Linked DNA regions of Canis lupus familiaris. The protein of the gene in region 1 interacts with the protein of each later gene in a pairwise test. Links are inferred from orthologs where the notes say so. Each region holds a gene or a part of one and is shown on either strand. Other genes may lie near its edges. The genes, in order: GOPC, MYOCD, DPYD, RHOQ, CCDC102B, VTN and MYLK.

Region 1 (3,801 bases):
CCTTTTTTTTTTAAATCTATAAACTAGTTAAAATGTATGTAGATCTTTATGATATTTTCTAGTGAAAATAAACATCTTACCACTTTTATTTCTTGAAGCTGTATACTTATCAGTTAATTCCTGGCAATAGTTTCCCTTGTAATGTCCTAAAAAGGAGATGAATAAATATGAAAGAACCTGAAAAAGAAGGTCATCCATCCATTTCACTATATTAACAGAACAACTTTTTATTTTTCTATTTTATCTATTATTTTCTTAACACTTTACTGTATATCCATTCCAGGAAATTAATGAAGATTTCTAAAAGCAAGTTATATAGCATGGGTTTACTCCATTTGATGATATATCGTTTAAGTAATACTAATTTTTCTTCTTTTTTTTCTTCCAATAAGGATCAAGACACTCTAAAGAAAAGCCAGGGTGTTGGTCCAATTAGAAAAGTTCTCCTCCTTAAGGAAGATCATGAAGGCCTTGGCATTTCAATTACAGTAAGAAGTAGTGCTTCCAGTCTCCTCTTTTGTAGTTAACTAGTATAATCATGCTCCCCTTTGGACATCCTTGGGAAACAAGTATTCTGGATATATCCCCTCCATAACTAAATTTATTCCCCTGGGCTCCAACACTTCTGTGTAAACTTTTTGTATGTAAATCTTCCTGATGACTATGAAGTATTACTTTAGTAAAATTATAACTTTATTAAGCATAATTTAGCATTTTCATTATGACTTGGTTTGTAGTTCTGTGGAATATCCTATGATTGCCACTAGGAGCCTTTGAGAATGGATATGACTGTTTTCTTCTACATTAAATGGCTCCAGATTGTATTGTTCTTTTCTCTTGTCTCATTTCTTTGTTGTCAGTTTTCAGTGGCCCTTGAGTCCAAATAGTCTTCCTTTCTAAATTTGATGCCTTTACAAACAGTTGTCTTGGGCAGCATTTCCGAGAGCAGCCTATTATAAGTACATATATTTGGAGTCGTTTTGTTGTCCTTATAGTGCTTTTGTTCCAGATGAATGAATAAGATGGCTTTACTCTTTCATTTGGTAATACTTAGATACTGCGTGAGTTCACTAGCATTTTGGTACTGCCTAATATGGAAATTTCTTTTATCATAAGTTTACCTGGTAGGTATTTATTGAATACCTACCTACCTACCTTTGTGAATGCACTGTCCCTCAAAAAGCATAAATTTTAGGAGAAATAATACACATATATCACACACACAAATAATTATAACATGAGCTAAAAAGTGAAAGTTACCAAATTTCATCAATTCCATGTTGCATATTTTTTCACATTTTAATATCTGAAATTGAGATTCCTCTTATACTCTTAAAATGATTTTTATAGTACATAAAATAATGGTAGGCCTTGTTATTTATAGTGATTCTGATCTGATAAAATCTAATAGTGCTGTGGACTATTAATATGTAATATGTAAAATACTTTTTGTTTAAAGCTTAACCAATTGTAGTTTTTTGTTTTGGGGTTGGTTTTTTTTTTTTTTTTTTTTTTTTTTTTTGGCTTTGGAATGTGTTTTAGAAATGTATGTTATTGTTTTATTCAGAGATAACTCTTTGATACCCATAAGAATGTATTTACCATTACCTAGATAGCAAATAATATTTTACTCAGTGTTCATAGAAGATACTGAAATGTATTTTTAAGAAGATATTTTATTATTAGAATAGTCTGTGACTGTACAAAGAGTAAACTAATTGACTGCCTTTTTTTTTTTTTTTTTTTTTTTTGTTAGGGTGGGAAAGAACATGGTGTTCCAATCCTCATTTCTGAGATCCACCCAGGGCAACCTGCTGATCGATGCGGAGGACTACATGTTGGAGATGCTATTCTGGCTGTTAATGGAGTTAACCTAAGGGACACAAAGCATAAAGAAGCTGTAACCATTCTTTCCCAGCAGGTAAGTTCCTTTTATGTAATTAAAATTGGATCTATTGGTTGATTCTTTTTGAATCTACTGAATGTTATACTTCAACTTGAGGCTTCTCAAGTAGTAAAGTGTTTATATGTAGATACCAGTTCCCTTTGATTTGGGCCTTTTATAGAAGACATTTGTCCAGATTTACTGAAAAAGGTCTTATTTGCCTTTTTCCACAGCTCTATAACTTTGAGCAAGTTACTTAAGTCCTCTGCTCTGCTACAGTGCCCTTATCTGAGAGCTGCAAGGATTACGCATGTTAATTCATATAAAGTGCTCAGAACAGGACCTGGTACTCAGAAAGCAAAACATCAGTAATGACTAAAACACTATACAAGTAGATGGTATTATAGAAAAAACAATGCTAGGAGCAGATTGGTTTTAGTGATAAATGTTAGAACTGATGAAAGAGTCCTTAGAAATCATTTAGCCCAACCCTCTTACTTAAAATTAGTAACCTGAGGTTCTTAGGGATTAAATAATTCACTCAAGGTTGCAGAGAAATTAGTAGAGTTGGGATTCATACCCCCAACTCCTGTTTGTTTACTTAAGGTGGACTTTTTGATTTGTTTTTTTCTTCAAGAGTAAGGTTGAAGAAATTAAGAGAAATGTTGATAGTATATTGAGATGTGTTTGGATCATCAGTGTAGAATTGAATCTGAGTTGAAAGTGAATTTATAGCTCGTTTGGTTCAACTACATACGTTGCGTAAATCTCTACAGTATCACTGATTAAATATTTATGTTAAGGGGGGACTTGTTGATGATAAAGTAGTCCATTCTATAGTTGTACATTGCGGTTTTTTTAGAAAGGTCTTCCTCATATTAAGCCTAAAAGCTGGATCCATGACTTCTGCCCACAGACCTAATTCTTTAATCTAGAACTTTACTGAATACCACAGCATTATCCCTCTGTCTCCCCAAAATGGGATGTTTAAAGTATTATCTGCTAAGAGAGATTGAAAAATGTAACCCTAACCTCTTTCAGTTAGTGTTTTCTCAACCCAACTTGGCCACATCCAGTCGTTATAAGAGTGAGATGAATGGCAGCTGTGGTAAAGGAAATACAAAGGGGCAGTCACACGCTTTTTGTTTTGTTTTGTTTTGGTTTTGTTTTGTTTTTGTTTTTCAGTCACATGCTTTTAAAGAAATGCTAAGCATCTATTAAAATTCTGAAACATAACCTTAAACTGCCGAGAATGCATAGTACCAACAGACTGACTTAGTGGCAGTAAAAAAAATCAGAGTTGCAAATGCCAGGCTTGTGTGTAGTGATTGTAGTCTCATTAAATGACTTGGAATGTTTTTTTAAACATAAAATAATCTTTTTTGCTTGAACATAAGTTTTATTAAAGAGTAGCAGTATGAGGCAGGCGTCTTGGTGGCTCAGTCAGTTAAGTGTCTGACTCTTGGTTTCAGCTTAGGTCATGATCTTAGGTTTGTGAGATCGAGCCCCATGTTGGGCTCCACACTCAGCAGGGAGTCTGCGTGAGAGTCTCTCTCTCTGCCTCTCCCTCTGCACCTCCCCCTGGCTTGCATTTTTTCTCTCTCTTTAAAATAAATAAGTAAATCTTAAAGAAAAAAAAGAATAGCAGTACAAATATTCATTTATTTATTTTAAATATTTTTTTAAGTTTATTTTTTAAGTAATCTCTGTCCTCAACATGGGGCTTGAACTCACAACCTGAGATCAATCGTCATCTGCTCTTCTGACTGAGCCAGCCAGCAGCCCCCAAATATTACACATTTTGTTTAGTAGAAAGGCCAAGGGCTTTGGAGTAATGTTTTTCTATTTTACATGCTCATCATATTGGGAAAATTATCTGCTCTTTGCAGAATAATTCAGGTTTCTGCCTCATGTAA
Region 2 (4,445 bases), on another chromosome or scaffold:
GGCGGCCAGCTCTGCCTCCCTTCTGAGGCAGGAACTGAATGGCCTAACTCAGAAAGCCTTCTGTACACAAATCACTGGTCAGATCCAAAGCGTGAGGGCGAGGCTCAGAGAATTCTGGCAGAGGTCTGAACTCAGGGTGCTGGAATCTGTCCTAGGAGCTATTGTCCTATCGGGTCTTCACCTGTCACCCACTGACCTTTCAAGGGTTGCGTTCTCCTGAGACCTAAGCAGTCATGTATGTGATCCAGGAGACCTGGGGCCCAGGCGCATAGAAGGTTGCAAGTAAATTCAACCCAACATCACGTAGGTACACAGTTTGGGTTTTGTTTTTGCTGCTACCACCTACTGAGCAAGCTTCTTGAAACTAGAGTCTTCATTTTAACTCCCCAGGAGCCTTCTTTGCTAATTTGGAGCCCCTTCAGAGCAGGCAAAGCTTATAACCGCTGGCACATCCTAGATGTCCAATAATTCAGTTGGGGTTCCGATTACCCCCACCTCACCCCATCCCACCCCCTCCAAGGAGGGATTCATGCGTAGGAAAAGCCTAGAGCCTTTGCAAGCACAGCCCGACCCCAGCCCTGACATCCCCTGCTCCCAAGACCCTACGGGATGGTGGGGGGCACAGGGCGTCCGTTCCCTAATGTGTCTTTCCCACCACCCAAGAGGGAGGGCCTCGCGTCGCGGGCTGGATCTGCGCGTCCACAGAGTCGGGTTCATCCCGGAAAGTGCGCATCCCGGGAAAACGCAAGGCTGGCTTCTCAGCGGCTCCGCGGCCCGCTGGCCTCTGCCTGCGCCCCGAGGCCCGGGAACGCGGGGAGAAGTTGGGAGCGCGCCGCGCCCGGAGCCCCGCTCGCTTCCACGCGCCCCGAGGCGCGCGCGCGCCCGTCCTGCCCGCCGGGATGGGGGGGCCTCGCACCCACCCCCCGCGCCCCCCACGCTCCCCGCGCGCGCCCGTCCTGCCCGCCGGGATGGGGTGGGGGGCTCTCACCCATCCCGCGCGCCCCCGGCGCCCCCTGCGCCCCCCGCGCTTCCCCCGCGCCCTCCCTTCCTGCCCGCCGGCATAGGGTGGGGGGCCTGGCATCCACCCGCCTCCCTCCCCGCGCACCCCTCGCTCCCCGCGCTCGCGTCCGTCCTGCCCGCCGGGATGCGGGGCTCTCACCCACCCCGCGCGCCCCCCGCGCCCCTCGCGCTCCCCCGCGCGCTCCCGTCCTGCCCGCCGGGATGCGGTGGGGGGCCTCGCACCCACCCCGCGCCCCCCCCCCGCGCCGCCCACCCGCGGGGACCCCGCTCCCGCCGCTCCCCCGGCGGCCCGGGCCCCGCTCGCCGCCCCTGATTGGCTGAGCTGCTGTCAGTAGTAAAAAAGTATCAGATGGCAAACTTGGGCCCTTCATAAAGGCGCGGTGGCGATCCTCGGCGCTCGCTGGCAGCCTATGACATCAGCCGGGCACGCCTGGGATGCCGCCGCGGCCGGGCGGCCTCGGAGCAGGAGGAGGGTCCCGCCCGCTGGGAGTCAGTTAGCCCCGCGCAGCGAGGGGGGAGCCGCCGGCTCTGCGGGGACGCGGGGTCCTCGGTCCTCCTGCCCCGGGCGCTCCCGGAGAGCTGGATGAGTTCTGGGTCGTTAGCTGCGCTCAGCGGGGCTCCCGGGAGCCCGATCCCGGTGGAAGACAGGGGGCGTCTGGCCAAGGGACCAGCGGCTCGCTGAGCCTCAACATGACACTCCTGGGGTCTCAGCACTCTTTGCTGATTAGGAGCAAATTCAGATCAGGTAGGGCTAAGGCACTTAGCAAATCCTTGCTGACTTTCCTCCTCCGCACCTCGCCACCCTGGACTGCTTTCCAACCAGCGTCTCGGAGCCGGCGCTTGGCTCCTGCCACTTGGTCCTCCCAGAGCACATTTTCGAAAGTGAAGACTTTTATTTGACTTTGGGGTTGGGAGGAGGAGGGGGTGGGGGACTTTGATGTCTTCCGTGGTCGATGCTTTGAGTTGCCGGATGCGATTTGTTGTTGTTGTTGTTGTTTGGTTGATTTGTGAAAAGGCAAATTCTTTTATTTCATCCCCCACCCGCACCCCATATCTGTGAATAGAAATTTTGGAAGGGTACCTCTGAAAGGGCCAACTTTGAAAATGAACAAATAAGGGATTTCGAGTTTGAGAGCTACATAATATCAGTTGTAACCGCTGAGAAGATGAACCTGATGCTGTGTATTAATAGATACAGGGTCACTTAAAATGTAGCTAATCCAAACAAATGTATTTCCCAAAAAAGTCACTTGGGGGAAGTAAAAATAGCAAATTTGGAGCACACCAAGTATTTAGGATGACATCACTGTAGAAAAAAAAAAAGTCCAGTGCCACAAATATTTTTTCCCAAACCATCTGATATTTATAAATGGAGAATTTCCCCCCAAATTTCTGTGTTAGTGGCGCACAGAGAAACTTCTCAGAGAGGTCGCCGGGTGAAGGTGAGTGGAAGGGACAGCCGGGAAGTGCAGCGGCTCCCCACCAAGGGTTGGTTTAGGCGCCCACAGAAGGTACCAGCGTGTGGGTCTCCCCATTTAGACAGGGAGACACTCGCCGCCTTAAGCTCTTGATCTCAGTAGCACAGTGTGTAATACTGGTTTTATAAAAGTGGTGGCAAACCACTCAATAAATGGCAAAATTTCTACCCAGAAGGTGGATTACATTCCTACCCGAACACTCCCTGTAACAGGTGTTAGCAGGATGCGGGCCTCGTTTAGGATGTTCTCAAAGCTCTTGTAAATGGGACCACTCGGTGTTACTTTCACCTGAGATTCATGTTTCAAAAATGAGAAGCATGGGTGTGGAGAGTGAGGGTGGTCTGCGACCTCCTTGGGCGCTTCTGGCTTTTAGATGTCCGTGGGGTCCACTGGAGGTTTCCTAAGGCTCTACGCTGTTGCAGGGAGATGACCCTTCTGGAGCTTCTGTGGCTGGTTGGTCATCTCTTAATGAGCTAGAGACTCTGCCGCTTTGTAATTTGGTCAAAACCGCAAGGCAACACTGCCACCTTTCTGAGGAAGAGAGGATACGGATTTGTTTTGCGGAAAGCCACTGCTCATTTCAGTTGCACCCTTGGCAGTTTTTTTGGGTAGGGGAGGGGCTGGTTTGCCTCTAAAAGGATTTGAAGTACTTGATAGTAAAATCGCAAAACCGACTTATGGAACTAATCAAGGCATCCTGCCTTGGGGGGGAAAGTGCAGAGGAAAAGGAAGACCGTGTTTTCCCTGTTCCTAATTCCTGTCTGTGGGTCAGTGGAGTCCTGGTGTCTCCTAGGTAGACACCCTGGAGCTTCAGAGAAGTCCAGTTGCCAACTTGCTTTCTCTTTTTTCTTTTTCTTTTTTTTTTTTTCCTGAGCTTGGACAGGCTTTTGTGTCACAGGAAGAGTAGCTTCAGGAAAACATGAGATATCCATGCAGATAGGAACATGCTTAACCCTCCACCTTTTGATAATCGGCCAAACTGGGGTCTGGAGGTGGACAAAGTGCTTTGGTCATTGGAGATGCAAGGGGTTGATAATCTGCACAAGCAGAAAAGCGAGCAGCATGTGCGGCTAAGTAATGCAGTGTTGCAGACCTCGATGATTCTTCCTGGATATAATTGCAAGTCTAGCTGCACCACCTCAGACCTTGGCTAGACGGCCTGCTTGCTAGCAAGAGGGCCTGCCTCTTCCCAAGCAAACTCCATTTATTTTGTGGCTAACCGTGGGCAGGGAAGCCTCTTCTGTTTTGATTTGTGTTCCTGGCTTTTTTCTTTTCTTTCGTGAGCTACTCATAATGTAAATTCACTAAACTCTCCTGCCAGTGTTTGCTTTGATGATAAACCCTGGTGTTACTTATTTAATTAAAATTATTTCAAAAAATAAATGGGACTAAGCCACAGCAAGGCAAATTATTTCAAAAATAAATGCAAGTAAGTTGTTCTCTGATCTCAGCAAGGCACCCCATACTGTAGGGCCTTTTTAAAAGTGAGCAGATGACCATTTTGATTCTGAAATTGGTGTGTATGGCAGCGACGTCCAACCGGCTTTCTGTAAACCGTGCTCGAGTGACCTTGGTATTAAGGATAAAATCCTGCTACAGGAGCAGCAAAGTGGGAAATTTTACATGTGTTAATATATTTAACGTTATAAACTCCTCTTATTTGAGAGGCTGTTGTGGGGTTACATGGTTGAGTGTGTGAATCCTGAGCCAAGCTCAGGATTGGATTTTTTTTTTTTTTTTTTTTTTTTTTGCAGGTGCCTCTACTTTCGAGCTGTATAAACTTGACCTTGGATAGATTTCATAATTCCCTCTGCCGTGGTTTACTTCACCCAAATAACGGTGATAGGGTTGTTGTGACGGTTGACTGTGATACCACAAGCAGGGCATTTTAAAAATGCCTGGTACTTGGTAAGCCCTCGAAAAATATTGTTCTGACAGTGTGACCCT
Region 3 (2,589 bases), on another chromosome or scaffold:
GTCATTTCTTCTGTCCACAGAAACACTGTTTTAGATCGTCTAGTAGAATATCTATGGAGGGGCGCCTGGGTGGCTCAGAGGTTGAGCGTCTGCCTTCGGCTCAGGTCGTGATCCCGGAGTCCTGGGATCGAGTACCGCATCAGGCTCCCCTGCAGGAAGTCTGCTTCTCCTTCTGTCTATGTCTCTGCCTCTGTGTCTCTCATGAATAAATAAATAAAATCTTAAAAAGAAAAGAAAACCAATGGAATGCAGTCAATTAGGTCTTGTGTTTCTAAGCTGGAGATATATATGTATACACACACACATACTTTGCCCATCTTTTAGAAGGACAAAAAAAAATGTACTCTACAATTATGAAACGTAGAGCTATGGGAACTACACTCCTGGAAGCCTCCTAAGTTACATAATACAACATTTTATAAAAATCAGAGAAATCTGGGCTGATACTATTTATTGCACGGTACTGTTTTTACAATGCACACTGTCAGTAATTCGGTGCCTATGTTTTAGGATGTAATTGGAAAAGCGCTGCAGTACCTTGGAGCATTTGGTGAACTGAGCAACCTAGAACAAGTTGTGGCCATGATTGATGAAGAAATGTGTATCAACTGTGGCAAATGCTACATGACCTGTAATGACTCTGGCTACCAGGTAAGGATTCTGCTGTAATTGGGATGCTGTGAGGCGTGTTTCTTCTGGCTTGTGTAGCAGAAAGCATCTTGTGTTGTTGCTAAGTGTGCAATGCAGACCAGACATGCCCAGTATTACCCCTCAGCAGCGGCGTGTCTGTCCTCTCACTCTCTGAGCCTAGGAATTTTTTTTAAAGGAAAGCCATCACTTCTACTACCTATGCCACTATCCAGTGAACAGTGTCATTTTAATATAATTTTATCACCCATAAAACTGGCTGGGAAAGATCCAACCAAAAAAAGAAATCCACACAATTATGTACATTAGGAAGCATTACGCTTTGCTACAGAGAGGGAAAAGAACTACCACGTATTGCCATTACCCTGGAAGGCCTTAATTCTTTCCACCAAAAGAGAATTCTCTTCCATTCAATATTGACTGGGCTTCTACTAGAAAAAGCACCTTCTTACCGGGGAAATGAAATGTGGGGACCCGGAATTCCTTTGTGACTAGAGAAGCCAGCAAGTTGTAGTCTTACCACATGAAGTGAGCCAGTTCCTCACCCCTAAGCTGGGAGGCTGCCAGGGGACAATACCAAAAAAAATAACTATTAAACTTTTCAAGCTGTGACGAAATAGAGTAAAATAATACCTTTTAAGATGACTAATGGAATTTTCAAGGTAGATAAAATGCCCTGTTTTTAAAAAATTGAAGTTCATTTAACTTATTCAGCCTGGACGAAGTTCCCGTGTTGCTTGTGGCAGGATTTTGCATATTCCTCTGACTGCCTAATAGAGATATAACAGACATTTTAATTTTTTAAAAATCTCTTCCTCTTTAATTTGACATTTGTTCTATACCAAATTTTTACCCAATGTGTCACTTTTTTTGGTAGCTGAAAGGTGTCTCTAACAGTTATTTTGGAAATGCTAATCCCATCACACTCACGTTCACCTTCCCTTTAACCATTTAGAGGTGAGTCAAGAAGTCCTGTCACAAAAATCATAGTGGCAGGGCTCTAATACCTCAAATCTTAGAAGTTATGACTCCTACCTTAGAATTCTAACCTTGGCACATCAGTAAACAAACAAACCCTTATTAATGAGGGAAAAAGAATCACAATTATGCATTTAAAAAGATTTTAAAAGTCCTCCTTTGACTCTTCTCTCTCAAAAAGATAAAAAATAGAAAATCAAAATCTTCAACTGATTATAAAGTTTCATATGTCTGCAAATTTTTAAAGGATAAGATTTTTAAGATACAATCATTTTATTTTCAATTGCTTCTTGGGGTTCTATTTATAAAAGGGTACATAAGGAAGATAAATAATTTTTACTCATTCAAACAGCCATCCAAGATGTTGTTTTCTTTTTTAAAATGGCAACGATTTATGTGGACAAAGTTTCTTCTGGTTTGTCTTATCTACAGTTCTTGTTCTGATAGAATATGGTTGTTTCCTTGAGGATCAGACTGGTTTTTTATATTAAGCAGTCTGACATAATTTAATAAAACCATTTTCACATTTATGTGCATAAAAGAGGAAAGAATTATAGTTACAAGTAGCTTCGCCTGGGGGAGGGAAACTTTTTTAACAACAACAAAAAAGTTGCTTTGAATTGGATTACACCGCATTTTATATGACACAGGGTCATATCCTGATCCTTGATCAGAATCAAAGAATTATTTAATTGAAAATCCTCAAACCTCAATACTGGCACTAATGCCAACTTTTTTTTTTTTTTAACTACTGTTTTCTTCTTAAAACTACATGCTTAATTTGAAATCCAAGCAAATACATTCATGGCCCCCATCTGCCGGTGACACTGTTTCACTGTTGAGAACAAGGAGTGTGAGGGGAGAAAGCACCCCAGGGTCCTCCGGGAGCCCACAGCCCATCCTGATAGAACTGGAAGGGTCTGCGCTTTGCTAGAACAAAGGAAATGAGAGAGTCACTGTCAC
Region 4 (4,456 bases), on another chromosome or scaffold:
GAAGCCCTGGTTTTGTGCGTGGGTCCAGCTTCGGGTGATGATTTGGATCTGGGTTCTTTCCACTGTAGTGGTAGTGCATGACTGTCACTCAGAGAATGGCTGTCCAGATTCCAGGTACCCAGGTCTACAGACCCACAGGGTTCTGGATTAATCAACCCAAGTGGCATCTCAGCCTTTCCAGTGGCTTCCTGTGTGTATAATCACCTCAAACCAGAGCAAATTCAGACCCATGTCCATGTCCCAGCAACACCTGTCCTTGGCTATGTGACCTGAGGTCAGCTACCTAGCCTCTCTGAGCCCCAGTTTCCCCATCTGCAAAGACAGTATCACTTTGCTCATGGGGTTGCTTCTTGGAGAAAATAGTATTTGCATGTGGCTGCCCCATGCCTGACATGCAGAAGGAACTTGGTAAGTATTAGTTGGATTTGAATGCGCACAGAATAGGTCTGACATATACACATCCTGTTGAATAGGCTCGTGGTCAAATGAATGGTCATGGTAACAAGTTAAAGGAGAAAGGGGAAGAGGCGGTAGTGAGAGACGTTAAAATTAGAGGCGGTGTTTAAAAACTTCTCTCCTTTTCAATCCCAAACTTCAACCTGTCATTTATCAAGTGTACTGTTCAAAAGTCGGGTCTTATTTAATTGACTGGGTTCTGCCTTTTGCCCTCCACACGTTCTGATAGAATAAAGTAACAGCTACAGGGCAGGCACCCAAAAGGGGCCCTGGCAAGCTAAGAACTTGTACTGACTTGGGTTGGTTTGGAGAAAGGGGACAGCCCCTGCCACCTGGCCCTGCCAACAGTTTCTCTATCCTCAGATGCTCCTCTAACTTAACAGTTTAGAAGCCAGAAGCCACATCCAGACACCGTCTGTAAGACATTCTTCAATTCAACCTGGTACCACAACTCTGAACTCCAAATCTAGAAAAGCTGCAAAGAATAGTTCCCTTCTATTGAGCATCTCCCTGGGTGCGCCAGATTCAGTGCTAAGCGTCTGGCATATAATATGTGAACAGAGAACTTTCTGAAGCCCATTTTATAGATAAGGAAACTGTACTCCTGGAGATCCCCCAAGGCACTCTCTAAAGCCCTCAGCTGTTCACACGTCCTCAAGGACTCAAGTCTGCATGACACGTGAAAAACTTCTGCCCAAGGTTTCACGTCTAATCACAGGGCTGGATTCTGCAAAACTTCATTATACGTAATCATCCCAGCCCCACAGCAAAAGTGAGCCTGGGAAGAGAGACAGAGAGGAAGGAGACTTTAATCCTTTAGAACCAACCTCCGATTTGCTAATGGTCAGAGGCTGCCAGGAGGACTGTGCCGTTTTCTTTCTGCACAATAATCTCTCTCAAAGAAAACCCAGACAAAGTCACCTGGCCTTCCCAGAGAAGGGTGGGGGCGGGGGGGGGGGGGAGGGGGCTCTTCCTCCAAGATTCATACTCCTAACCCTTCCTCCTCCTCCCTACCCCAGGGAGTGGCTGGATGGTTGTTGTTTCTTTTCTTTTCTTTTCTTTTTTTTTTTTTTTTCCCCTGTGGTCCTCTGGTAACACCACAAATTACGTTTGCAGGGACTCGAGTCCCAGAGTGCAATGATGTTGTAATAAACATAACCAGGACCAAATGCCTTCCCATCATATTAGATGATGCCATTTTGCACCAATCAGGCTCCTCAGGCAGGCAGACCACTCACCAATGAGGGACCAGACAGAGGCTGTGAGGGGGAGACCTGGTCATCTGCAACTAAAAATAAGGGCGCTTCATGATTGGCCGCTGCCACTTTGCAACAGGAGTTGGGACCCACACACCAGGCACCACACAGAAAGCACACACAGGCAAAAACTTTCACAGCCCAGGGGTTCACATGGGGTGGGCTGGGCTGGGTTTGTTGTCGGCTTGTGTGTGTGTGTGTGTGTGTGTGTGTGTGTGTGTTTTCCTTTTCCTAATTTGCTGACTTGAGAAAAGAAATAAAGACTTGATCCAGAGGGGCCCCTCGAAGACACACCCTCCCTCCGAGACACCTCAGGGTGCATTTGCCGCCAGCCTGAATTGAGGAGAGGCAAGGGGGTGTGGGCCAGGGGCCAAGACACTCACCTGTCCGGCCGTGTCATAGAGTCCCAGGAGGTACTGCTTGCCCCCTACGGTGACGCTGACTGCAAGGACAGAAGCGGGGGCGGGGAGAGAAGCTCGGATTATCTAGGGTCTGGGGCCCTCCGGCTCCCCATCAGGACGGCTCTGTCGGTCCTTCCGGAGGCGTGCGGCGCTCCCGGGAGGTGTCACCCCTCCTCCCCAGCGTCGGGCTCCCTGCCGAGTGGCGGGGGGCCGGGCTGTGCTGTGGCCCCAGCTGCCCACCCGTGGCCACGGCTCGCCGGTGCCCCGAGCGTCCCCCCAGGGGGCGTGGGCCGTCGGGAGGAGGCCGTGGGAAGGTCAAGGAGGTCGTCCCAGGGCGCCCGGCGCTCGGGAGGCGCGGGGGGCCGGGAGCGGGCGCCCCGAGGCCCGGGGGTGGGGCCGGGAGGCGGCGCGGGGCCGGGCGGGGGGAGCGCGCCCGGGGGAGGCGGCGAGGGGGCTCCGCCAAAGTTGCTCCAAAGTTCCCGGCCGGGGAGCGGCCCCTTAGTCAGCAGTTCAGCCTTACCTGCGTAGTGGTCGAAGACGGTGGGCACGTACTCCTCCGGGAAGGCGTCGTTGGCATAGCTCATGAGTAGGCACGTCTTGCCCACCGCCCCGTCGCCGACCACCACGCACTTGAGCATCAGCGCGCCGGGCCCGTGAGCCATGCTGCGGCCGGCCGGCCTCCGGGCATGGTCCCCCCGGAGCCCCCGCCCCGGCCCCGGGCTCAGCCCCAGCCCGCCTGGGGGGTCCGCCGCCGCCGCCGCCGCCGCTCCGCGCAGCACGGCCGCCCCCCCGGCCCCATGCAGCGGCGGCCCCCGCCGAGCGGAGGGGGCGGCGGGCCCGGGGCGCTGCCGCCGCCTCGGCCGCTGCCCGGATCCCCGCCCGGGCCCCGCTCGCCGCGCCCGCCCGCTGCCCCCGCCGCCCCCGCCGCCCCCGCCGCCCGCCGCCCGCCGCCCGCGCGCTCCCCGGCCCGGCCTCCCCCGGAGGATCCGCTGGATCATAAGACCGGCCGGCCCCGGGGGAGACGGCAACTTTGGGGAGGGCGGCGGAGGGGAGGGGCCAGGCGGCTCTCCCCGCCCCGCGCGCGCCCGGGCCCCTCCCGGCTGCGCCCCGGAGGAGGGCGGGCCCCGGCGCCTCCCCGAGCGCCTCCCCGAGCGCCTCCCCGAGCGCCGCCCGCCCGGCCCCCGCGCCCCGCCCGGCCCCCGCGCCCCGCGCCCCGCCCGCCGCCGCCGCCGCCGCCGCCGCCGCCGCCGCCCGGCCTGGCCGCTCACCCTAGCTTGACTCCCCGCGCGGGGCGGGGGCGGGGGCGGGGGGCGGAGCCGCGGGCGGGGGAGGGGCGGGGGCGGGGCCCGGAGCCCGGGAGGAGCCCAGGGCTCGTCGCGCAAGTGCCCGCAGCGCCCGGAAGCGTCCAGAGGCCCCGGTGCTTGGAAGAAGCCGAGGAGGCCTCTCGGGGTACCACGACCACTTCGACGATGACGCAATAGTCGTGCAAAATTATGCAAATATATTTAAACTGCACCCGGAAGGCAGGATCCATCCTATCGGGCCCTAAGTGCACAAGGGAACTAGAAATCGGGGTGGGAGAAAGGGTTAAAAAAAAATTTTTTTTTTTTTTAAGGCGCGTGGGGCGGTGGGGGAGGTGGCGGTGGTCCCACAGCTCCTCGCCTGGTTCCCCATCACCGCACGGAGCCTGAATCATCTACTTTGAAACCGGTGACTAAGGGAGTTACGGCGTCTTGAACCTCCGAAGCAACCCCCAGCCAGCCAGCAAAGGGAGACCCCACGGGCTCCGGATGCGGCAAATATCCCGTGCCTCGCACCGTTCTCTGAGGTCCCCTTGCGGCCCAGACTGTCCTTCGAAGGTGTTAGGCTGTGATCTCAGAGGAGTGACACTCTTGCTCTGAGATTCGGCATGTGATGGGTGGGGGGGGGGGCAGCCGCTGCCCCTGCCGCTGCCCCTGCCCCTGCCTGGGCCAAGCTTGGCCAGGTCCCGTTCGCCAGCCTCTAGTGATGCTTTGATCCTTAGGCATGGGTGGGGGAGTGGGTACACACCACAAAGACACCACGCCCCTCCCCCTTCTCCTCCCCACCCCACCCACCCCCACATGTGAGAAATGGCTTGTTTTCATTGATTCACAAAATTGGAAAATGCTGTGTTGAGAGGCTTTGCGGAGATCAACTGGACCATCTCCCTTAGCTCTCCCTGAGGTTGTAGGTAAGTAAACAGACCTAGAGAGGCAACGTGGTTATCCCAAAGGCTTCCAGCTAATTCTGGCAAAGACGCAGAACACACTTTGGGGACTGCCTCCATGCCTCACTTCCCAGGCCTCAACTCTCAAACCTCAA
Region 5 (4,508 bases), about 49 Mb from region 1:
GAGGAAATTTGATGTTCCGAAATGTAAATGATTTCTCTAAAGCCACAGATATAGTACGTTCTGGAGCTAGGTTTCCAAATAATGTCTTTCTGGCTCCAAAGCTTTTCCACTCTGCTCCACTGGTATTTTAGGAATGTGAGTCTGGCAGAAGTTGAGCAGAATGGTTTGGGATGGCGTTGGGGTAATAGCGTGCAGGGAAGAGACAGTGAGACGACATCCGTAAATCCAAGCTAATCACAATTCTCTCAGGTGGTCCACTCTTACTTTAGGGAATAGACAGAAGAAATTGATACTGAAAATAAGCAGTTTTTATACTTAAATTGGCGATTCTCATATTCAACACTTAGGCTTTCCTCTCTTTTATTTTCTTGAACATTGTATTCAAAGAAGATGTCTTTTGATTTCTCAGAGGAAGTTTAATCACTGATTTTCATCAAATATCACATATTCATAAGAGAAACGCATGTGGTTATTGGAAATGATATTGGGAACACACTGGCGTTCTTTTGTTTGTTTATGATGAGTGATATGAATGGAAAGACCCCATGATTATCATGTAAGTTTTATTTGAATGGGTGAAGAGCATATATAAAATTTATGTTGCTAATAGACAATGCAGAGTACAGTACATCAGTAGTAAAAAGAATAAGCCCCATTTAACATTTTTCCTCGTATATCTAAACTTTAAATATATTTAACTTTTCTCTAAATAGAATATTTTATAAATATATATTATAACTATATATATATAATAGTGTCTGTGCTCTCATTTTAGAAATGTACGATCTACTGTTTTAGAAGTTTATTGTCATTTAAATAGGCTTTACTGGAGTAATGCCTTTTTGCCATATGCCCAAACAGCTGAAGATAGTTGTAATGTAAAGATTCATTCCTTTAAATATATCATTAAGAAAACAATAAGTATACTTGTCAGCTCAAATACTTTCATCACTGACCTTAGGTTAGGACATTTCATTTTAATTAAACAGATCTAGGCTGTTTTCCAAGATTCTATTTTATAGAGAGTCTTTTACATGTTCAATACCTGGTCCTCAGTGTTTGGTCCTCAATGCCCTGATCAACTGTTGATGCACAATTGTTATCAAGTATTATAAAATAGAAAACTGGTTATCTTATAGGAGGAAAGCAGCCTATCAAAGAGAAGATGGGTTGTGCTCAATACCATTCTATTAAGGTCATAGCTTTGCAGATTACTAATATTTTTATATATTTAAATACCTGAGTGACTTGCATATGATGATATTTACTATGAGTTGCTGTTATATGTAGAAAAGATAAAAGAATATTTGCTGTTAAAAACTGATAGAAGGACTTTTTTTGGTAGCTGAATACAGAAGTACCCTTTTGAATAAAAAACATATTCATTGCAGAGCTTTTAAATGGTATCCTATAATCCTTGTCTTTAATTTGTAGAATTAAAGCCCTCTTCCCCCCAAAAAATAGATGTGCTGGAGTACTACCATATCAGAGGCAGACCCACCAGAGCAGAATGAAGAGCACCATTCAGAGAGGTAGGAGGAGACCCATGAAAGAGGAGTCTTTCAGAAGCTAAGTAAATGAGTCATTGCTGAAAGATGAAATGGCCAAGTTATATAAAATGCTACTGAGTGGTCAAGGAAAATAGGAGTTAACTGTTAATTAGATTTTGCAATACAGAAGTTATTGATTTTCTGTTTTTGCAGAGATCTAGGCTTAAAAACTGGTAGAGTGAGTTCAAGAGAGAGTGAGATGAGTGAAAATATCTTCTAATGGTTTTTACTATAAAAAATATCAGAGAAATGTGATGGTCCCTGGATGGAGATCAAGATGATTTTTGTTTTTCAGGTTGAAGATATTATAGCATGTCCCCTTTGCCGATAAGAATGACTTAGGAGGGAGATTTAATTTTATTAGAAAGGAGAGAGAGAACTCTATTTGTAGGAGTTAAGTCTTTAAGTCAGCTAGTGGGGATTCAGATGGAACCTGCAAATGGAAAGTTTGACTTTAGGGGCAAGGATGATGTAGAAAGAGGCTGAGATCAGGGTTACCACAAGGCTGATAAGTGTGGTAGAGCCAGAGAATGGTAGTTGTCTTTTGATAACTTTTTTTTTTTTTAAAGTGAAACAGAGGGAAAAAAAGAATAACTTCATCAAGAAAGATGGAAGAGTTAAGGAAGAAGATGGGTGGAGTTTTGGAGAATGGGAAAGTGAAATGATAAGGGAAATGGAGTAGGGTTGGCTGTGCAGTGCTAAGGGCTGATGTGATATTCAGAATCAAGAATTGAAGTGAGACCTGAAAGTAAACCATGTTTTCTCTAAGTATTAGCAGATGCTCAGGTAGGTGCCTATGTGGAACAGGCAGATAGTTGAATGCCAACCAGAATTGGAGTTTTCTAGGCAATAAGGTTAAGAGAATGCCAATCTAGCTGAGCATAAATTGTTAATTAATGGGGCTTGGAAAAGGGAAGGAGTATCAATATGAAGTAGGTAATAAATGGTTAAAAGATAATGGGATCAGTTAATAGGAGGTCCAAGTTAGGTCAAAGAAGAGAATTTTGTGGACCACAGAAGGTAATCAAAAGGGTGCTTAACATGGAAATGGAAGAAATGCTGTATGGTAATAGTATCTAGGGTATATACCAGCCAGTGGGTGCATGAGGTAGAACTATTGGAATTGATAGGAACGGAAAGATGAGAATATTGTAAGGATACTGCATGTGAAAATATTTTGGACATGAAATTAAGTTTAGTTCCATTACAACCAATTAGTACCACCCTTGGTTTTACTAGATACATTTTATTTCTTATTAGTAAATGTCTTTGAATTTACTTAAATGGGAAAACAGTCCTGTTATAAAAATACATGGAAAAACATGGTGTTTTATATGTGGATTATATTATGGTAAGAAGATAAATATCCACAAGTGGACACTAATTTTAGTACCCATTCCCATGCTGAGACTAATTTTGTTCATAATTTCCTCCACTTACCTTCTTATTTTTTTAATGCATCCATCGCCTCATATAGTTACCTATTTATTTATTTTTTTTAACTTTTTAAAAAATTTTATTTATTTATGATAGTGAGAGAGAGAGAGAGAGAGAGAGGCAGAGACATAGGCAGAGGGAGAAGCAGGCTCCATGCACCGGGAGCCCGACGTGGGATTCGATTCCGGGTCTCCAGGATCGCGCCCTGGGCCAAAGGCAGGTGCCAAACTGCTGCACCACCCAGGGATCCCCTATAGTTACCTATTTAAAAATGTTTAACTGAAGTGTAGTTGACATATAATATTAAACTAGTTTCAGGTATACAACGTAGTGATTCAGCGATTCTATACCTAATGAAATGCTCACCAGGATAAGTGTATTATGATATTATTGACTGTATCCCCTCTGCTGTCCTCTATTTTTAATGATGTTTTGCTTGGTCTTACAGACTGTATTAGAGAAGGATCTTCAGGGAACAATAAGATATAGACATAGAATTTTTCACATCTAACGAATTGTAAGCCCATAATTTTTCTCGATGTTCATTATATTGCCAAAGTTTTGGATAAAGATTAAATTATATTTGCAAATGATGGTCAGAAACCATGAACTACCTTTATTTTAATATTTAATTTTTTTTTTCTAAAAGCCAGGCTGTCTAAATAGCTTAAAATAAATGGGATTTCTTTTAAACTTCTCAGATGAGAACGTGGAACAGTCATATCCAGTGTTTTGAATCATGGCCATTTTATTTTGATGTGACTATTGTAGCATCTCCTCTTCTACATTATGTGACCATGTGGCAGAGAATGAAAATGTTCTGTTCATTTATATTTGAATGATAGCTATGATGCTGATGTGTATTTACATTATCAATAGAATGCATTTTCAAACATATATTTGAAAATAATATTATTAGCAATCATCTTAGTTTGATGCATAAGTGAGAAGCCTCTGTAAGACAGAGATAGAAATTTTGTGAGAACACACTGAACATAAGTTTGAAAATTCAAAACAAAGTTTTCTATTTCTGGAAAATTCTCTATGAAAAAGAAAAATCCTTAAATTTTTGGGTTGCTCTAGAGTAGAGCTATGCAACAGAAGTAGTGTTCAAGCAACCTTTACAATCTGAAGTTACATTTAAAAAATAAATGTGGGGCACCTCAGTGGTTTAGCACCACCTTCAGCCCAGGGCCATGCTGGAGACCCGGGATCGAGTCCCATGTCAGGCTCCCTGAATAGAGCCTGCTTTCCCTCTGTGTCTCTGCCTCTCTCTCTCTCTCTCTCTCTGTCTCTTATGAATAAATAAAATGTTTAAAAATAAATAAAATAAAAATTTAAAAATGTGACATAGATTTTAATAACATATTGTACTTAACCCAATATCTTTAAAATATTACCATTCTAAAATGTAACCAATATAAAATTAATGAAATAGTCTACATTTTTATTTTCCACACTGTGCCTAATTTAGACTTAGAGTACATCTCAGTTCGGACTGCCTTCATTTCAGTGGTTTTC
Region 6 (4,451 bases), on another chromosome or scaffold:
GGGATCAGCTGTGTAGGCTCAGATTCCTACTGGGGGCTGGGGGCTGAGCAGCCTAGCCAGTACTGGGCGATGGAGCGTGGGTAAGGAGGGCTCACAGTGTCCACTCGCCGTGTGCGAAGGTTGACTCGGTAGTACTTGTCTGGAAGAGAGGTCAGGAGAGAGTGTGTGAGGGCCAGCCTGGCCCTGCCCATTCCTGCCCTAAGAAAGAAGACCCAGGTCTCTCCTGGAAGGGTAGATGAACATCCAAAATGCAGCTAAGGGCTCACATCCTGGCTTTCTGGAGTCACCACCCAAGGGCCATGTTCAGCCCATGAGGATCAGGGACAGGAGGGAAGACCAGCTAGACCAGCTACAGGGGATGGCAGAGGCTCCCACCTTCTGAGAAGAAGTAAACACTTTGGATGGGCTCACAGGTGGCCGGCACAAGCCAGTCCATGTTGTAGTCATCATAGTTGTAGGTGTCTAGGCCACTCTCCTCACTGGAGAACCAGGACAGCCAGGCTGAGCGGGATTGCCGCTGGGAGGTCCGGCTACGGCCTCGGCCACGGTTACGGCGTGAACGGTAGCGTTTACGGTTGCGCCGCTTAGGATTCAGCTTCTTGACCCAGGATCGGGGTGCCGACCCTGAGATGTAGATGCGGCCAGCCATGGCCGCGTCCACCTGCCTAGGCAAACCAGGCCAGTCCTGGCTGATGAACCCGGGCTCTCCAGCACCACCTGTGGCAGAGAATGGGTTAATGAGTCTTGGGAACATGTAGAGTTCATCTGGTGCCCAATGATGGGCTGTGCCTTGCCGAAGGACACAGCAAGCTCATGGCAGAGCACAGTGCCCAGGCCCTCTGACTCCCTCTTTGGTGCTCTTTCTCCTGGCCCTCCTTCACCTCATCCCTCCCCACTTGGCCTCAGCCACAGCCCCTCCTCCTGCTAGCTGTGCCCTTGGCTGTGCTAGGCAAAGTCCGAGGTGTGGGATTGGGTGGACCTCCCCCCAAAAGTCAACAGAAACAAAGTCTGGCCTGAGTAAACAGCTTTTGATCTGTAGCTCTGCAATCACAGCCCCCTCTGGCCAGCTGTGCCCTGCCCCTACCTGGGGGATCCCAGTGGGAGAAAGTGAGATTTGCCCTCCTTCCATACCAGAGGGTCTGTTCCAGAAGAGAAGCTCAAAGAAGGTCTCCCAGCTGTCCCTCTGCAGCAGGGCAAAGTGTTCAAACACGGTGGACAGGGAGCTGCCCTCACACTCCTCCTGACTGGGCTGCTGCTGGAACTCATACTCCCAGTACTGTCTCCCTGAGCGGGGAAGTGGGATGGGGGAAGGCATGTGAGCAAGGCTGGAAAGGCAGCCCCAACCTGCTGAAGATAGGAGTTCCTGGCAGGGGGTGAGCACAATTCCACTCTGCCCCTCCAGAAGTGTGCAGGCAAACCTAGACGGCCCCACTGCCTGCCTTTCTCCCACCCACTCCCTTCATACCCTTGAAGAAGTAGACCCGCTCCCGGCCACTGTAGCTGCGAGCAGGGAGAGCAAAGGCTGCGTCCACGTTGTCCGGAATGCCCTTGAAGCCTTCAGAGATGTTGCGGGGGTAATCTGGGTCCAGAACACCATCCTCGAAGCGCCAGTACTGACTACCCTAAGGGGCAGGGAAGGAGGAGGGAGTGCGGAGGTGGCTGGCTGGGCACAGGCAGAGTGCCCCACCCAAGGCAGCAGTCCCAATTCTAGGCTTGTCACCGGGGACCCAGAGCCTCGGGCTTCCCCATCCTCAAGAGGCCCAGCCAGGGCCCACAGGCCAGGATCCAGCCTTCTTGCCCACCCTAGTCCTGGGCACAGCAGCCCTCAACCCCTGCCTAGATACCCGTGACCCTGACCCACATCCCCTGGCCCTGGTACCTTGAAGAGATAGGTCTTCCCCTGACAGTTGATGCGGGTGAAGGCTGCATCAATGGGGCCCTCAATGCCCCAGACATCTCGGATAAGCTTGGGGTACCCAGGTCTCACTGCCTTTTCATCCAGCTCATAACAGTACTGCCCTAGAGTGCAGGAGGCTGTGTGAGGGAGGGGATGTTCCGGGGGCAGACCCTGACCCACCAAGACTTGCCCCTGGAATCACCTCGGAAGGCAAAGAGGGAGCCATTCTTGAGGTCAGTGAAGGCGTCAAAGGGTTTCCCACTACATAGCTCCTCCTCTGCTGCGGACTCAGAGATGTCTTGATCAGGGGCCTCAAGCACTAAGGTCCCCTGCCCGGGTCCTGGAGCCTCTTCCTCAGGGATCAGAATAGGTACCTGGGCAGGAAACTTTTCAGACTGGGCCTGTAGGCCAGGGCTCAGGGTGGTACTCTCCAGCTGTGTGAGGACGCTCTGTTCTCTGGTCCCCTCATGATCGTCAATGACCCCATACTCATCTTCTGGCAGAGCGAATACATCCCCACGAGTCACTGCAGGCAGAGTGGGTGGTGGTGAGTCTCCAGCTGCAGAGGGGACCCCAGGCCCACCCAACCCTTCTGGACGCACCTTGGGGTTTGCACTCGGCCACGTAGTCCTCGCAGCAGCTCTGGTAGTAAGAGCAGAGCTCGTCACACTGACACTTCCTGTCAGCATTGAAGCCCTCTGTGCAGCGGCCCTTGCATGATTCTGTGGGGAGGAGGTGTCAGTTGGCATGGCCAAGCCCAGACCACCATTGCCCACCCTTCACTGGCCCAAATAGTCACCAGCGCCCTCTTGTACCTTGGTCAGCCAGAACAACCCATGCCAGCAGGGCTAGCACCAGCAGGGGCCTGGGGAATGCCATGGTAGGGCTGCTAGCTTCTAGCCCTGAACTGGGCTCTATGCGGTCTCCACTGCGATGCCTGAGGAAGGGAGGGAAGAGGTGTGGACAGGGAGGGAGGGAACCAGAAAGAGGAGCTGCCTTGTCTGCTGCTCTGTTTGCTCAATCTCTGGCCCAGCCCCCAGTACCCTGGACCCCAGAGGTTGCTGCTGCACTACAAAGGGTCACATTCCTGGAACTCTGGGCCTGGGAGAACTGTGAACAGGATCCTTGCCAAGCTCAATCTCATCCCAGGAGGGGAATAGCACAGCGGGTCTGAAGGACAGAAGGAAGGGCCACTGTGCCACTCACAGGCTGTGTGACCATGGGCACACTGCTTTACCTGCCTTGGCTTTCTTTTTGGTAAGGAGAGATTAATACCTGCCTTGTGTCCTGTTTTTGGGGGTGGGGGTGTTTACACAAGCTAAAGCAGACAAAATGCCTGGTGCCTGGAATAGCGCCAACTTCATTCTCCATAAATGGTTATTTGTCTGTGATCTGTTTGATCAGGTGCATCCCTGACTGAGTGTCTCACCCACCCATTGTGTATTTAGGGTGGTAAAAGGGGGGGTGAAGGAATGCTGGTGAGCACTCTGGGGGATTTTTATTTTTAATCATAAAAAAAACAGATTTTCATGTTTAGGTTCTACTCTTGGGTGCATTGTTTTTCCCAAGCTGGGCCTCACAGAGCAGCAAATTGGATGAATGGTAACCGTTTGGACTGGATTTGATTCCTTGGTCTCTCACTAATTCACTGCTCCTTGGCAGGCACTGCTCCCTGTCTCCACTTTCACTCTCCCTGTGGTAAAGAACAGCCTCCTTCTCCACACTTTTAGACTCTTGAAGATAAGCATCCCTCTTTCCAGAAAATACCCCTGGCACAGAAGGCCTGATTCTGCACCCACTGTCAAGGGTCCATGGGCCTCCTGAAATCCTGCCACCACCTGGAAGAAAATGATTCTCAGAGTTTCCAACTGAGTCTTTCTGTTCCATAATCAGAGAAGGGTGTGTGACTTTGGGCTACGTCTTTTCTAGGAGCTTTAGTCAGTTCAGCTGTTAAATGGGAACACAAATACCGACCCTGTAGGCCTGTCATAAGGCTTGAGAAAGAGGCATAAAGGGTCTGGAGAGTTGTACCGCATCGTTATTAGGATCACTTTAACTAACCACTGTTAGGGGAGGGGGCCCGCTCCACTGTGTTGCCTTCACGTTGCAGTGTCACGGGGTTTGGGGGTGGCAGGGGAAGGAGGCGGTCGTCGGCTCGGCACCCTCTCCCCCGAGTGGCCTCCCCCTCCCTTCCGCTCTCCGTCCCCTCCCCTCCCCTCCCCTCCCTCCCTCCCTCTCCCCCATCCCCTAAGCAGGGCGTGGGCGTGGCTGAGGACAGGCCTGGGGGCGAGGCGGGGCGGGGCGGGGGGTCCCACGTGACCGAGAGGCGGGGTGTCAGCTCCCCTGCGGCTTCTCAGGGGCGGGGCTGCTGCAGATCCACACTGGGCCGGAGCCCGGCTTTGTTCTTCTCACAGGCGTCTGGGTCCATCCCTCGCAGCCCCCTCGCTCCTCCGCCCACCCCCTGCCTCCGGGCCGCTTCCCTTTACCCAAAAGCTCCGTCCGGGATCCTGCCCTCGCCCCTCCCCCCAACTTCTGGCCGGCGCCCTGCCCGGTG
Region 7 (3,801 bases), on another chromosome or scaffold:
GTAACCAACTGGCCCCAGTGTGCCAGGGGCCATCCCAGCTTTATACTCAAAAGAGACTCATCCTGGGAAACCCCTCAGTCCAGGCAACCCAGGCTGGTTAGTCACGCTCGCTGGCTCTCCCAAGGGAGGGAGCCTGTGTGGCCTTAGGGAGGCCAGTACAAACACTGCCCGCCTGGAGCCCAGGGACCCAGCCTTGGCAATTGTCCTCACACAAGGAAAAGACTTTCTCAAAATAAGGATGGAACTTAGCGAATTGAAACTTCCTTTCTTGATGTTCCAAAGATTTCTAAGTGTCTTTGTAGAGCAGCAACCAGTTTTTAGCTCAAAGGCATGAAACTGGAAGTCTAGAACATACAGACAGATTTCTTTTCCAGTTCTGACAACTTCTCCACTGTGTTTTTTTTTTTCTCATAAATCAGTTCCCAAAGATTGAATCTGATGTAGGTTATTTTTAAGATTGTCCTTATTAAGCACATTTTACTTTTCCCCATTTTAGAAAGTATATGCTGTAAGACTACGTCTGATAGAAAATTCACCCCTCTTTGTAGCCTATTTGTTTGCTAATGTGTATTGGCTCCCTTCTCTGGAATATTCTAATTCATTTATTGCCTTGTTCTGGCAACTTCATACTCGTCATTTTGTTAAAAGAAGAGGAAAGACTTCCTTATTCCACACCGCACAAGTGAAGACAGTCCTGATCGGTCACGACCCAGGCGTTTGGAATTGGGGAACCCATGGGCTCGGGGGGAGTGTTCCCTGCTGCACCGTCACGTGTGTGCGTGACAGGCTTTCTGTAGGGAGAGTCAGATCTTCTGGTTCAAGAACTTGAGGTGCACAGGAGGGAACTGGTTTGCCTAGTGACGTCCCTTTGTTCAGAATGAACTGAGGTGAGAGGCTCCTGGCCCAGGCCAACCGGTCTCGTTGGGTAAAGAGAATGGAGCGCCAGAAGGGCTGGGTCCGAGAGTCTGGCTCTGCGGGGGCACGGCCTGGTCTGAGGTCCACGCCACAGGGAGGGCTGCCGAGGCTGGCACCCAGACACACGGCTGAGGTCTCCGGGAGCGGCCCGTCCCAGCACAGCGTGCGCGGCTGCCGGCGCCCGGCCTGCGGGTACGCTCTCTGCAGGGCCACGGTGCCTCTCCCCGCGCCAGTCACCTCCACCCGGGGCTGCCTGGGTTCTGTTCAGTGACGCGGCTTCAGCCTGGCGACCGAGGGCCGGGAACGTGACCACAGCTCAGTGATACGGGCCGAAGGGCGCGTGGCCGGAGGGGCACATGGCCGGAGGGGCACGTCCGTCCGGAGCGCACGAAGAGTCCACAGCAGGGGGGGGGGACATGGCACAGAGGAGTGGCTGCGGCCACCACGGTTCTCTGCGTGAAGCGCGTGCACACGCTATGAGTCCTTAGTGCCCGTGATGGAAACAGCCCGGCTCCCGGAGAGCCCCAGGTCGGGGGGCTCTACCCGTCGGGCGCTCCGGGCCACGGCACCTGGACACCCCGGGCGCCCCGGACGCCGACACACGCGGTTCCCGGGCCGCTGCACTGACGTGCGAAGGGGCCGAAACCTCCGGGCCTGTGGGACCTGAGGGCGAAGGGGCAACCCGGGCCCGGTGCTGTGGCCCGGGCCACGTCCTGGTCTGCGGCCCACGCCTGGCAGAGTCTTCACCTCCGGTTCTGGCCTCCTCATCGGAGAGCGGCAGCCCTGTCCTCCCCGAGGCCTCTCCCCTCCGAAAAGCCAAGCAGCCGCCGCTCCGCATGTCCTCGGGCCTCGCTTTCGAGGCCTGGGCGGGCCCGGGCAAGAGGCTGCCCCGAAGGCCCGTGCATCCCGCACTCGGGCCGTCAGAGCCGTTCTCGAAGGCCCTCAAGTGTGGAATCATGAACAGAGCTAATGAGACCGTGGAGGTCACCTCGGGCAGCCCCCCTTACACGGAGAAGGAAAGTGAAGCGGGGGGTGGGGGTAGGGGACTTGCCCCAAGTCCGTAGGAAGCCTTTTCTGGGTCCTGCGCTAACTCCCGCTCGGTCCCTATCAGCAGCATTGTTTTACGAGAAACAGCCCCCGGGCCCGTCAGCAGGGAGTCTCTGGAGCTGTCTCAGCCCGCAGTTGCTTTATATAAACTATCCCTTTTATGGGAGTTGAAGCGCAGTATGAAAGGGTTTTTGTCTCATGTTGACCTTGTTTAGTCACATTAACGCACACATCGCTCCGGGCCCCATTCCATCGGCGCACATCCCCGGACACGCGGAGCGCGCGGGCAGAGCAGGGCTGGGCGCTCCTCGCGGCACCTCGGCTCGCGGGGCCTCGCTCCGGGCCCAGTGCGCTCCCGCCGCGCCCTTCTCCCCCGACCCGACCCCGACCCCGACCCCAACCCCCGCTGCCTATTTTCCAGAAAACGGGCAATGCTGTGAGAGCCATCGGAAGACTGTCCTCTATGGCAATGATCTCAGGGCTCAGTGGCAGGAAATCCTCAACAGGATCACCGACCAGCCCGCTCAACGCAGAAAAACTAGAATCTGAAGGTAAGGAGCTCCAGAAGATTCTTGTCTAGCCAGTCGGCGAGAAAGGAGGGGTTACGGAAGGGACATGTGGAGGCTTTGGGGAGTTTCTTTTTTTCCTTTTTCTTCTTTCTTTCTTTCTTTCTTTCTTTCTTTCTTTCTTTCTTTCTTTCTTTCTTTCCTTTTTTCTTTCTTTTTTTTCTTCTTTCTTTCTTTTTTTTTTTTTAATAATATAAACGACAAGGGTTAAATTCAGAATGAATTTTAGGTTGCCTCCTGACAACAATTATTACAGTCTACTGGTTCCTCTTTAACGGTCCAACCTTAACTGTTTTCAGAGGGAAAGTTATTTAACAGAAACAGCTGACCTCGGCTGTTCTTTTCTCCATATTTCACATAAGAATCAGCAAAGACTTCATTAAAAGCTTCCTTTTCTCTCATTACAAAAGTGCTCTTGGTATTTGGATAGGCAAACATAAAAATCACAGAGAGCACTATCTTTTTTAAAAAATATCCGTCCATATTCTTTGTGTTTTTCTTTAAAAAAAATGAACTGCAGTCCCTATTGATTTGGGCATTTTTCATGATGGTGCAGCGGGTCGTTTGAATGGGGTGGAGCGTGCGGAAAGGGCTCCTCCGCAGACCGGTAGGGTCAGCCGCTTGCGCCGTCTCGACATGCTGCCCTGGCCAGCTCCTCAGTGAAGGCCTTGGCCTCGTCCTGCTCCAGGTGCATGTGGGTTCTGGCCCTGGTCTTCCGGAGGCACTTCATGTGGCCAGAGACCCCCCCCCCCCACCTCCCGCTGCTTGGTGTTTTCCGTGTCCCAAGGTGGAGAAGCAGGGGCCAGACTCCTCTTGTGCCTAAAGGCAGGCTGCGTGTCCCCCGGGCTGCTCTGATGGGGCCAGGGGCACAGTCTGCGACACGTGGGCCTGCTCCCTCCTGATCCGTGCTCCCCAGGTGACCCTGAAGGGAAGGCAGAGGGCACAGGGTCCCCTCCAAGTACAGCTTATCCCCGGACCAATCATAAATCCCTGGTCCGTGGTCATACACTGTGAAGGCGGCGTAAGCATGGGGACCAGAACTCCCGGCAAGTCGAAGACATGCCTAGGACCCAGGCCCTCCTTCCTGAGGAGCAGGTAAAGAGCCTGCCACTGCAGGAGGAGGGCAAAGTGGGGACAGAGACCGGGAAGGCCGGAGTGCTCTGTCCTCCTTGGATATCCTCCACTGAATCCTGAAACAGCATGGAATGCAGCCAAAAATCCTTTTTAAAGATTATTTCCTTTTTCAATGTGTCAGCATAAGGGAAGGGGGGAG

Evidence for each region.
Region 2: the proteins of GOPC (region 1) and MYOCD interact in binary tests that used the Homo sapiens proteins (3 or more experiments, as listed by UniProt). The two-hybrid records come from large-scale screens. The link is inferred for Canis lupus familiaris from reciprocal best matches to the Homo sapiens genes GOPC and MYOCD.
Region 3: the proteins of GOPC (region 1) and DPYD interact in a two-hybrid assay, tested with the Homo sapiens proteins (2 studies listed by BioGRID and IntAct). The link is inferred for Canis lupus familiaris from reciprocal best matches to the Homo sapiens genes GOPC and DPYD.
Region 4: the proteins of GOPC (region 1) and RHOQ interact in a two-hybrid assay, tested with the Homo sapiens proteins (2 studies listed by BioGRID). The link is inferred for Canis lupus familiaris from reciprocal best matches to the Homo sapiens genes GOPC and RHOQ.
Region 5: the proteins of GOPC (region 1) and CCDC102B interact in binary tests that used the Homo sapiens proteins (3 or more experiments, as listed by UniProt). The two-hybrid records come from large-scale screens. The link is inferred for Canis lupus familiaris from reciprocal best matches to the Homo sapiens genes GOPC and CCDC102B.
Region 6: the proteins of GOPC (region 1) and VTN interact in binary tests that used the Homo sapiens proteins (3 or more experiments, as listed by UniProt). The two-hybrid records come from large-scale screens. The link is inferred for Canis lupus familiaris from reciprocal best matches to the Homo sapiens genes GOPC and VTN.
Region 7: the proteins of GOPC (region 1) and MYLK interact in binary tests that used the Homo sapiens proteins (3 or more experiments, as listed by UniProt). The two-hybrid records come from large-scale screens. The link is inferred for Canis lupus familiaris from reciprocal best matches to the Homo sapiens genes GOPC and MYLK.

Annotation. Positions count from the first base shown.
Region 1 is NC_049222.1:58,352,838-58,356,638, reverse strand, and holds part of GOPC (Golgi-associated PDZ and coiled-coil motif-containing protein), read left to right. Parts: intron 1-80; coding exon of another isoform or gene 81-146; intron 147-392; coding exon 393-488; intron 489-1,756; coding exon 1,757-1,921; intron 1,922-3,801. Other genes in the region: DCBLD1 (discoidin, CUB and LCCL domain-containing protein 1), read right to left, coding at 81-146.
Region 2 is NC_049226.1:36,891,879-36,896,323, forward strand, and holds the start of MYOCD (myocardin), read left to right. Parts: upstream 1-1,402; 5' UTR 1,403-1,710; coding exon 1,711-1,765; intron 1,766-4,252; exon of another isoform or gene 4,253-4,406; intron 4,407-4,445. UniProt on the Homo sapiens protein: Smooth muscle cells (SM) and cardiac muscle cells-specific transcriptional factor which uses the canonical single or multiple CArG boxes DNA sequence. Acts as a cofactor of serum response factor (SRF) with the potential to modulate SRF-target genes.
Region 3 is NC_049227.1:53,019,609-53,022,197, forward strand, and holds part of DPYD (dihydropyrimidine dehydrogenase [NADP(+)]), read left to right. Parts: intron 1-510; coding exon 511-651; intron 652-2,589.
Region 4 is NC_049231.1:49,818,257-49,822,712, reverse strand, and holds the start of RHOQ (rho-related GTP-binding protein RhoQ), read right to left. Parts: upstream 2,846-4,456; 5' UTR 2,776-2,845; coding exon 2,634-2,775; intron 2,155-2,633; coding exon 2,096-2,154; intron 1-2,095. UniProt on the Homo sapiens protein: Plasma membrane-associated small GTPase which cycles between an active GTP-bound and an inactive GDP-bound state. In active state binds to a variety of effector proteins to regulate cellular responses. Involved in epithelial cell polarization processes.
Region 5 is NC_049222.1:9,362,988-9,367,495, reverse strand, and holds the start of CCDC102B (coiled-coil domain-containing protein 102B), read left to right. Parts: upstream 1-1,456; 5' UTR 1,457-1,464; coding exon 1,465-1,532; intron 1,533-4,508. UniProt on the Homo sapiens protein: During interphase, forms fibers at the proximal ends of centrioles to maintain centrosome cohesion. During mitosis, dissociates from the centrosome following phosphorylation to allow centrosome separation. Contributes to CROCC/rootletin filament formation.
Region 6 is NC_049230.1:42,589,609-42,594,059, forward strand, and holds the start of VTN (vitronectin), read right to left. Parts: upstream 2,909-4,451; 5' UTR 2,777-2,908; coding exon 2,713-2,776; intron 2,620-2,712; coding exon 2,500-2,619; intron 2,424-2,499; coding exon 2,100-2,423; intron 2,020-2,099; coding exon 1,880-2,019; intron 1,623-1,879; coding exon 1,466-1,622; intron 1,285-1,465; coding exon 1,132-1,284; intron 718-1,131; coding exon 376-717; intron 140-375; coding exon 27-139; 3' UTR 1-26. UniProt on the Homo sapiens protein: Vitronectin is a cell adhesion and spreading factor found in serum and tissues. Vitronectin interact with glycosaminoglycans and proteoglycans. Is recognized by certain members of the integrin family and serves as a cell-to-substrate adhesion molecule.
Region 7 is NC_049254.1:27,354,378-27,358,178, reverse strand, and holds part of MYLK (myosin light chain kinase, smooth muscle), read left to right. Parts: intron 1-2,383; coding exon 2,384-2,513; intron 2,514-3,801. UniProt on the Homo sapiens protein: Calcium/calmodulin-dependent myosin light chain kinase implicated in smooth muscle contraction via phosphorylation of myosin light chains (MLC). Also regulates actin-myosin interaction through a non-kinase activity.